Linked DNA regions of Drosophila melanogaster. The protein of the gene in region 1 purifies or fractionates together with the protein of each later gene. This does not show direct contact. Each region holds a gene or a part of one and is shown in the gene's direction. Other genes may lie near its edges.

Region 1 (4,884 bases):
CGTTCAGCACGCCGAGGTGGTGGCCCAGCTGCAGCAGGTCACCACGGCGTCGGGCCCATCGGCTCCGTCCTCATCCAGATCGTCCAATCTTCAGGAGCACCTCAGCAGGCTGCCCAACCGCATGGCAGCCGCCTTTGGTCGGATGTCGGCCAATCTGAATTGCTACCAGAAGACTGTCGCCACGCCGGAGCGTCACTCCAACTCCTCCTGAGGATCAGGACGTGGACGGAGGGGCAAACAGAACCCAGAAACCAAAACTCAAACTGAGACAATCCCAGTGCAGCGTGTGCCGCCACCATAAGTTAAAAGATCAAACGCGAAGCCACATAACAAAATCGCTAGCTCGCTACTACAAGACTGTCATGGATCAAAAACCAAATGTTCACCATATATATCTCACCTATTGGAATGCAGCTCGGACGGATTTTTGAGTTGTGGCACTCTTGAAAGCGAGCTGGTAGAATGTAGAATCGAAATCGCAGTTAGCTAATTGTACTATAAACTAAGTATTATTATCTAAAGCAACCCTCTCTCCTACACACATAAGTATTGCAAAAAGAAGGGCCAATCGAGCTTTTCGTAATCGCTGGTATTCTTGTAATATTTCATTGTATTTATTTGAAGTATGGAATCTAAATGATGTGTTACTGTTACGTGTAAATACGAGATACGAATGCAGCTTAGTTAGTGTAAAACTCTCTCATTAGCCAAATTTCCAAATGTAATTTTCGCCTATTTATGAATATACTTTATTTATTTATTCGAAGTGATTTCGTTCGCAAGCGAGTGCTTTGTTTAAAAAGAAAAAACCCGTCAGTTGTACACGTGTAGAGCATTTGTAAATACTACCGATTTTCGCATTAAGCTGTAGCTATATTAATATAATGAATTATAAATCATGTATTCCTACCTAGGTGGTTGCTGTTATTCGTAAACATTCAATAAGCAGTTGTTTCCAATACCTATTTAATGTATTTTACATATCTCACATGTTGATGAGCATGCGTATCAATATTCAAAAACAAAATCGAAAAAAGAGTCAAACAAATAAAGTTGATCAAGATATTAGAAAAAATCTCAAAGTGTGTTTTGAATCAGAAGTGTGGAATCATAATCAACCCAAATGATTGATGTATTTTAATATCTTTAACAAATGAATGTTTAACTCATTCGTTATTTTCATTATAAAGTCGTGAATTCTTTATAAAATGAGAGTAATCAACTAAAATCTATAGATTTCTATTTATTTTATTTTATATCTATAAAATATCTATAGATATTCTATCAAGATTATGCTGAACTAAACCTTTTTTACTTTCTTTTATGGAATTCGAATATGCAATCTTAATGAATTCTGTGTCGCATATTTGTAATCTTTTTGCAATTTTATTTATATATTTTTATAAGATGAATTAGGTATGCTTTTTTTAAGTTTAGGTAAATGTGGAATATTAGTTTGTATATCAATTTAAAAATCACACTTTTTGAAACGTACGTATAAATAAAAATTAAAGGGGAGAGGTCATATTTAAGATGTAATTCAAGTGAATTACAAAAATTCAAAAATTAAATGACTTTATCATTAATTTTATAGTTGGAAACAAAGCCAGCTCAGTGAGAACTGGTTGAAAATGCCTATCGGACTATCGATGAGTATTCATCGCTAGTGGTAACTTGCGACCAACCCGAGGCTGGTCACACTGCTCTGGTCGCGTCCAAAAAGTGTACAATTTTTCACCACCTCGGTTTGTTTTTTCGGACCAGGCGAGGCACCTTCGATTCGCTGCGACTTCCGTTTCCGATCCGTTTCGGATGATAGCTCTGAGTGCGCTGCTAACCAAATATACGATCGGTATTATGAGCAACCTAAGCAATGGCAACAGCAACAACAACAACCAGCAGCAGCAGCAACAACAACAGGGTCAGAACCCACAACAACCAGCACAGAATGAAGGCGGAGCGGGAGCGGAGTTCGTGGCGCCACCGCCCGGACTAGGTGCCGCAGTGGGCGTGGCAGCCATGCAGCAGCGCAACCGCCTGCTGCAGCAGCAACAGCAGCAGCACCACCACCATCAGAATCCCGCCGCCGAGGGAAGTGGCCTGGAGCGGGGCAGCTGCCTTCTGCGCTACGCCAGCCAGAACTCCCTGGACGAGAGCTCCCAGAAGCACGTCCAGCGGCCAAATGGCAAGGAGCGCGGCACTGTGGGGCAGTACAGCAATGAACAGCATACGGCGCGCTCCTTCGACGCCATGAACGAGATGAGAAAGTAAGGATGGCACGAGATCCTGTCGAAGGATCAGTTCGTACGACTATAAAATTTGGTTAAGTCCTTAAGCATCATAAAGAAGTAGCCAGGGTTTCTAAAGACCTTAAGGCAGTATATTTAGATCCACAAATAGTATTATATCCTAATTCCTACCTGTGAGAGGTTTTAAAAACCTTAGGTAGAACATTGGTTATTTTGTACCTGCCCTGGAGAATAGAACACACAGCACCCACATAGGACTTTTAATGATATGCAGAATTAGATCTATGTGATTTTATAGCCTGATTATGTAAATAAGCACACCTACAACGGTTCGAAAAATGTTTCAAATGTCATTTGTTTGCTCAACAGCAAACCAGCTGAACGTTCGTTCAGGTTCTAAAAAGGTGTCAGCTATTTCCCAGTTACTATTTCCTTGACAAAACAAGCTGATCTGAGTTTCTACCACTAAAACTTTCAGTTGTTAAATATGACGACCTACCTCAACTTAATATAAATAGAACTGTGCTAACTACACTCTATTATAAACTCATCTCCTCTGTTCCCGGACAAAGGCGCATGATTCAATCCCTGCGTGTTCGACGGGAACAGGTGGACCGACTGGCTCTCGAGCTTTGAGATTTGGGCCAAGATGCGAAAATAAAATCTCTGAAAATGTCAGATGATCGTCTCTCGCATATTTGCGCAGTTCGCTTTGTTTATCTGGCCGTTGCTAATATTTGTGTTTGCACACTACATATGTATAAACGAATATTTGCCGCCGCTTTTGTCGTGGGGCCATTCGCATTAATTATTGTCTAGTTTTTATTATGATGAGTTGCTTACGCCTTCGGGTTTCGCATTGGGCCACGACCTTGAACTTGGTTGCGGCCAAAAATGATATTCGTTTTCGAATCGCATTTCGATTCCGCTTCCGCGTCTCCGCCTTTGCTTACTTTTTGGAAAACTACTGGGCGTATGGAAAATTTATTGGTAGCTTACATAAAACGAGTTTTTTTTTTCGGACCAATCATATCGTATTCGGCGCGAAAGTGAATGTGGTATAACCCAAAAAGTAAGCCGAGCGTTGTAATGTGGATTGCTTTTTGATTGGGAATTGAATCACACAAATATTTCGTGAGGTGTATATTCTATGAGATTTTTTTTATTGGGTTATAATTATAACACCTTACGATTTTGAAGACAAAAGATCTTAGTCTTTTCGAGTAGTCATCATCATTTAATGGCGCCATAATTTGCACAGTTAATAGCATCCCCGTCTCTTTTTACAAAACAAAATATTTTCCTCTTGAAAAAATTCAAGCACTTTTGTTTACAAACATACATACCAGCCTTGAAGATATTTAGCACGCTTTTAAACTGTTTATTTGGCAATCAAAACGATCTATTGCTAGTGGATTTCAAAGTCTCAATATTGTCGATACATGACGGTTACTAACCAATTTACTGCGTACAAAAAAATGTATCAAATCTGATATATATATATTTTTACCTATAACAGACAAAAACAGCTCTGTGATGTGATATTGGTGGCCGACGATGTGGAGATCCACGCTCACCGCATGGTGCTGGCCTCCTGCAGTCCGTACTTCTATGCGATGTTCACCAGTTTCGAGGAGTCGCGGCAGGCGAGGATCACCCTCCAGAGTGTCGATGCTCGGGCCTTGGAGCTGCTCATCGACTACGTATACACTGCCACGGTGGAGGTAAACGAGGATAACGTGCAAGTCCTCTTGACCGCCGCCAACCTGCTCCAGCTCACGGATGTGCGAGATGCCTGCTGCGACTTCCTGCAAACTCAGTTGGATGCCAGTAATTGCCTCGGCATCCGGGAGTTTGCCGATATTCATGCCTGCGTGGAACTTCTCAATTACGCAGAGACCTACATCGAGCAGCATTTCAAGTAAGTGGCTAGATTGTGATGACGCAGTATGGGCAGACAAATATAAAATTGTTTTGATTTGCCTGTTTACAGATAGGAATCCATTACTGTATCTGTTCAGTGTTCACTTTTAGAGCATGTATATTGGGAAGACTCACTTTAGTTTGTTCTATATCTACGGATAGTAATTCGTATTTAAATTCCAGTGAAGTGACTATTTATTTATTATTTATTGAGGATAGAAAGCTGCCGTACAACAATATCAATTGAATCGATTAATGGGATCAGATATTTTAATAATTATAGTAACATTTAATAACATGTGTCAAGTTAAAGTTCCTTAGACTCAACAAAAAGGATTTTTAATTATATTATAAAAACGATTAAATTCCTAGGTGTGTTTGGAATGTATCAAAATTTAAATAGTTTAACAGTCACGCATTGGTGTCTTCCAGCATCTGTTTGAAGTCGCTAATTTTGGGTTTCCATAAGATCACGAATTTAATCTTATATTAATTATATTTTCGAATTCAACTACTGAATTAGTAATAACCAAAGTATCAGAATTATATAAGTTCTCATTGATTTCATCAGGCAGAAACAAAATTAGTTAATTATTAAGTTTATATAACAGTAAACAGACGCAAAACCGAAAGCAAATGTGCAATATAAACCATTGAACCGGTTGCGATTAATTAAATTTACTTAGCCCACTCCTCTCATTCCTTGCGCCCC
Region 2 (4,919 bases), on another chromosome or scaffold:
AATACATGCTATTAGTGATATGAATCTAACAAAATTGATGAACTTGATTAAGAGTATTATGTATGTACACGATAAAGTTGTGTAATGGAGTTGTATAAACGATGATGCGTTTTACACTTTACATGCGAAAGAAAAAGAACACAAGGACAACACAGTACGACACTTTGGCAGCGCATTATCCTTGGAATGGAATTATGTCAATGCCATTACGATGACGGGAGTAGGTACTTACGTTCCCATAGTACAACGTACTATTACTTTGAGATTGCAATGGTTGCTAATGAGTGGAATGTATATGTATTTGTTAACATGCATATGTAGATTTCAATGGATTGTTTTCTATGTTTGTTTAGTATAGTATAGCGCCCTATAAATAACTGTTGATAACCGTGTGGGTCAACTTACAACTCTCATATTCTTGATGCTGGGCAGAACCCTCTTGGTGTCGGCCTCCTTCTTGATGAAGATCTCGTTGATCACCGATCCGACCACATCCTTGGCCGCTCCCATTGCAGCCTCACCAGCTGCATTGAGGAACTCCTGTCCCGCTTGCCTCAAGAATCCCCTCAAGTCGTCCATCGTGCAGATATCTGAAAATATATGTACATATATAGTTTAATATCAGTTAGCAGTGTAAGGTGCCGCCTCAGATTAAAAACCCATTAATAAATATTTATTGTTCAAACATTTGATGACTAGTTAGCAACATCCAATATTTTTTATATCGCCCATATTTACTTATAAGCCTCGCGGTGGAATTAAAAGCACACCCAGAGACATAAATATGGTTTAACGAGCATTACAGAATCGTTAGTATTCCCAGTGTGACTGGAAGTCGGGCTAAATGAAATTACTTTAATTCACGCAAACTGAAATTATACTTTGGAGACAAGAATGTCTCGGTTCGCACCCAAATATAATTCAAATGTTTCTACATATACAATGCTGTATTTATACATATGTAGCCGCTATATATATATGCTATATTGTGTGACATCATTCGGAAGCATGAGATTCTCTAGTGACTCAAAGGGTGTGCGCCATTCGGGAGATTAAGCTTCGTTTTTTATCCATATTAAGCCGGGATATTGACATTGACCCATGGAACTACTACATATGTACGACACATATAGGGTATATATTTCTGTGACAATAGTAAATTGGCCTTTAATTGGGGCGAAATATGCTAGATTGGCTGACCCATCTGTTATTGTATTTGCGAACATTGGTAATTCTACGGCGAAACCCAAACAGGTTTGGTAATTAATGCATTCTTCTGGCCTGGCTCATTCCCGTGACCACCATATTTTCGTAAAGAATAGTATATTCGTCATAGGCACTTGATATTTCTAATACTATATATATTTGCCCATTTTCCAACGGACCTTGATTGGTCGAGAGAACGATTTCCGAATCGAATCACGCACTTTCACTCCCCAAAATCACAGCACAACAATAAAGTAACGGAACCACGCACCTTCACCGCACGGAGATATTTACTCACTACAAATATTTATATCTGTAGCTCAACACCTGACTGCTATCGAATGTTTTGGTATTTATTTTTATCGAAGTATTTTGCCGAAATTTGTGATTTGCCAGCCCTATTTCAATGTAAATATATCGATAATCGCCCGATTTTACTGAAAAATATTTCGATAAGAGCATCGATATTTCAAACAAATATCGACCCATTGACATGCGTCAGGTTTGTCCATCCCTAACAAAATCGTAGTACGAAATATCGAAAACGAAACACATCACGCGGGCGAAATTTCGTGAAGTTCAGCATTTACAAATTGTAAGCAGTGGTTTTATCGAACCCATTGACCAATTAGTGGGCTTCTAAAATTAGTGATAGACTTTATTAAATGAAACGAGAAAATAGAGGCGAATACACCCGTACAGCAAATTGACCATCGATTTTTTCACGGCATTGCCGGTGACGAGAATGCGACGCCGTTCATACACACACACGCACGGACACGAATGTGTGTATATGGCGCGGCGCTTGTGTGTGAAAGTGTATTCGTATAAATAATATGACATAATCGACGTGTGCGGCTTAATTGACATAGTTTTTGTGCGAAGAATACCTAAAAGTGCGAAGAGAGCGCCAAAAAAGGCGTTTTTTGTTTGTGGTCAAGGTGGCAAAAAGGACTTGCACCGCTATTTTCCCCTGCGCTTTGCTCCAAATATTCGTTCCTCCCCATACACTCTCTCGCACACACACAAGCGTGTATATTTGGGCGTTGCAGGATGAAGAACTCTCTTTCTCTCTCCCACTTTCCTTCGCTCTCTTCTCGTATTCTCTTGAACACTTTTGCGCAATTTGAGTGATTTGCAAGGCAAACTAATGCTTTTCGATTGTTTACCGAATTTAGTTAACCCCGTTTGGAAGCCAGTTTGTCTGGAAGTTACTTCAGTTTAGTTGTTTTCAACATCTCCACTTGACGTTGCCTAACACTGCCCGCCCTCTCTCTCTCGGCTTCTTTGCCACTGTCCGTGCGCAGTTCTCTTTTGCGCTTCATTCGTGCTCTGCCCGTCGGACGTGTCCGTACGATTTTGGATTAAGTTCTCGTAGGCAATTCAACTTGAAATATTTATTCGCTGCGGTGCAACTAAAATTTAATTCAAAGAATTAAAAGTGCTAAGTGCTGTTAGGAGCGGCAATTTTGCAAAAAAAAAAATATTAACAGTTATTTGGTGTAGTGCAAGAAGCCCAAAAGAGAACAAAATTATTTATTTTAAACATATTGCATTCAAGGCAATAAAAAGTTAAATCTATTAAAATTTTCTACCCTCTCCCTCCCCTTTTATTGATAGTCTCCCTCTGTGGCGTATGTGTGTTTGTACGAATTAGCGGCTGAAAACCAAAAACCGAGGTGCGAGAGCGAGAATACATTTATAAAAAACGCGTGCGTTTCTCCTCTAACACATACAGTGAGTGTGACCGTTGTATTTGTGACCTGTGCCTGTGTTAGCGGCCACTGGAGGATCAACGAATTTAAAAGAATACTAAAAGTACCGGTGAGTATTCTTGCATCTACCGGATGATGTGTTATAATCCCGTTAAATAGTGAATGTCCCCTCGTGCCCTGCATTCGTTTTAACCGTTATGACGATGAGCGGCAATTCGGCCGGTGACGCCATCTTTTGTGCTTCTCTAATAAGTGTTGTTTTTGTTTTTTGGGTTTGGTCAAGCTCACGCAACACGGCGTGTGTGAGTGAGTAGTGTGTCTATTTTGTTGTTATGCTTCATAGACAGTGGCGAAACTACAGATTATTATTCAGGGGTCATAAATGTCATTTAAGATCAAGAACATATTATATTTAAATTTATCCGGAAATATGAGCAAATGTTTAAGGTGTAGCACCACATTGACCCCCATTCAGACGCCACTGTTTGAGCTTCTAGTTCTAGCCACTTTTCTTCTCTCTTTCTCTTTTTTCGGGTGGGTGTGATTGTGTGTGCGTGTGCTTTTCCTTTCCATATGATTCATGCTTCTTTCTACCTCCGGCTTTCTATGCGCTTGTCAGATTAAAAAAAAAACCCATTTTCCAATTCTCGTCGCTGATTTTATTCATCTTTTATTTGGCAATTTGTTGCGAATGCCACTTGCAAATCTCTAGCCGTGTGCCTAATGCACTTGGGCAATAAATCCGCCTGCTGGCGCGCATCTGTGGGCAAGTTTCATGACCCACTTTTCCTCCTTGGTCTCTCGCCTTTCAGCAAAGTAAATAGTGAAAAGCAGCAACAAGTGATAAACAGATTTGTAAATATTGAAAACTTGTTTATGCCATTTGTCAGTGCAACCCAATGCCTACAAAATAGACTTTATAGGTATCGGAGGTAGTTCTTGATACTCAGTCAGTTCGATTTTTAAATTTTTTGTTGTCATTCAGAGCCCATCTTGATATTTCTGTAATTTATTGTAATCTTGAACGAATAGGAATTGATAACCTTTTACTTTAATTATTCTTTAACCCAATTCAATGCGCTATGCTTAAATGAAACATTACGCTTATAGAATTTAATATAATTTAAATTAGCAATGTTTCCTATAAAACTTTGTTTTATATATAGCCTTCTATAGATGTTCTTATGCAAGTCATAGGAGTTCGATTGTGTGTGTGCTCTCCCGCAATCTTATCAGAACCTTCGCGCTGGTTACGTTTTCTTGTTAGATTGCTGTTTCTATACAAGTACCTACATATCCACATTACAACAAGCCAACAACATTCCCAATTTAAGTTATAAGGAATTTCTCCTTTGCCACCAACTAACTACCTACCTATTTACAACATTCTTCGATTTCTATTACCTTACTTCCTGTTCTATATACTCATCATATCAAATTCGAGCATTCCATTTGCCTTAGCTACATATTTTGCGATACATGACGTCATTTCGCACACATTGCTTATAAAAAAGGTAAAAAAATAAAATAAAAATTTGCTCTTTTTGTTTGCTGGCTTTTGTTGCTAATTCGAATTTACTCATAGAAATACATGGGCAGTGGGCTTTATTTATTCATTGCTTATGCTGCCTCCCCCTTTATCACCCCTTATCAAGCTTTTCACTTGTTCCTCTTGCTCTGTTGTCCGTTTTCAATTCGCAAATTAGACGTGACTCGTTGGTTGAGGGTTTCAATTGAGGTTTTTTGCACACCGCAAGTTGCATTTAGAGAATTTTCGAAAATCGTTGAGGCATTATTTGTATTGAATTCCATTTGCACTACGAATACTGAAAAGGTGAAGCAGACTCAGTGTAAAAAGACAACAAAAATAATACAAAAACGATTGCTTCCGCTAAAAAAAAGTGACACATAAAAGTATCTACACAGAAAAAAAAACGAAATATGATATAACCTAAACAACATAAAGTAAAGTACGAAATCTTTACGGATTGGAAAATT

Evidence for each region.
Region 2: the proteins of kel (region 1) and hts purify together in Drosophila melanogaster (affinity purification with mass spectrometry, with the first as the bait; one study listed by BioGRID). This does not show direct contact.

Annotation. Positions count from the first base shown.
Region 1 is NT_033779.5:18,134,860-18,139,743, reverse strand, and holds the start of kel (kelch), read left to right. Parts: upstream 1-1,660; 5' UTR 1,661-1,812; coding exon 1,813-2,267; intron 2,268-3,768; coding exon 3,769-4,170; intron 4,171-4,884. UniProt on the Drosophila melanogaster protein: Component of ring canals that regulates the flow of cytoplasm between cells. May be involved in the regulation of cytoplasm flow from nurse cells to the oocyte during oogenesis. Binds actin.
Region 2 is NT_033778.4:19,421,705-19,426,623, reverse strand, and holds the start of hts (hu li tai shao), read left to right. Parts: upstream 1-1,720; 5' UTR 1,721-1,801; intron 1,802-2,509; exon of another isoform or gene 2,510-2,826; 5' UTR 2,827-3,030; intron 3,031-4,919. Other genes in the region: CalpA (Calpain-A), read right to left, coding at 233-277, 406-579. UniProt on the Drosophila melanogaster protein: Required for assembling actin at ring canals in developing egg chambers. Probably interacts with other developmental proteins involved in nurse cell/oocyte transport through the ring canals. Important for normal neuromotor function.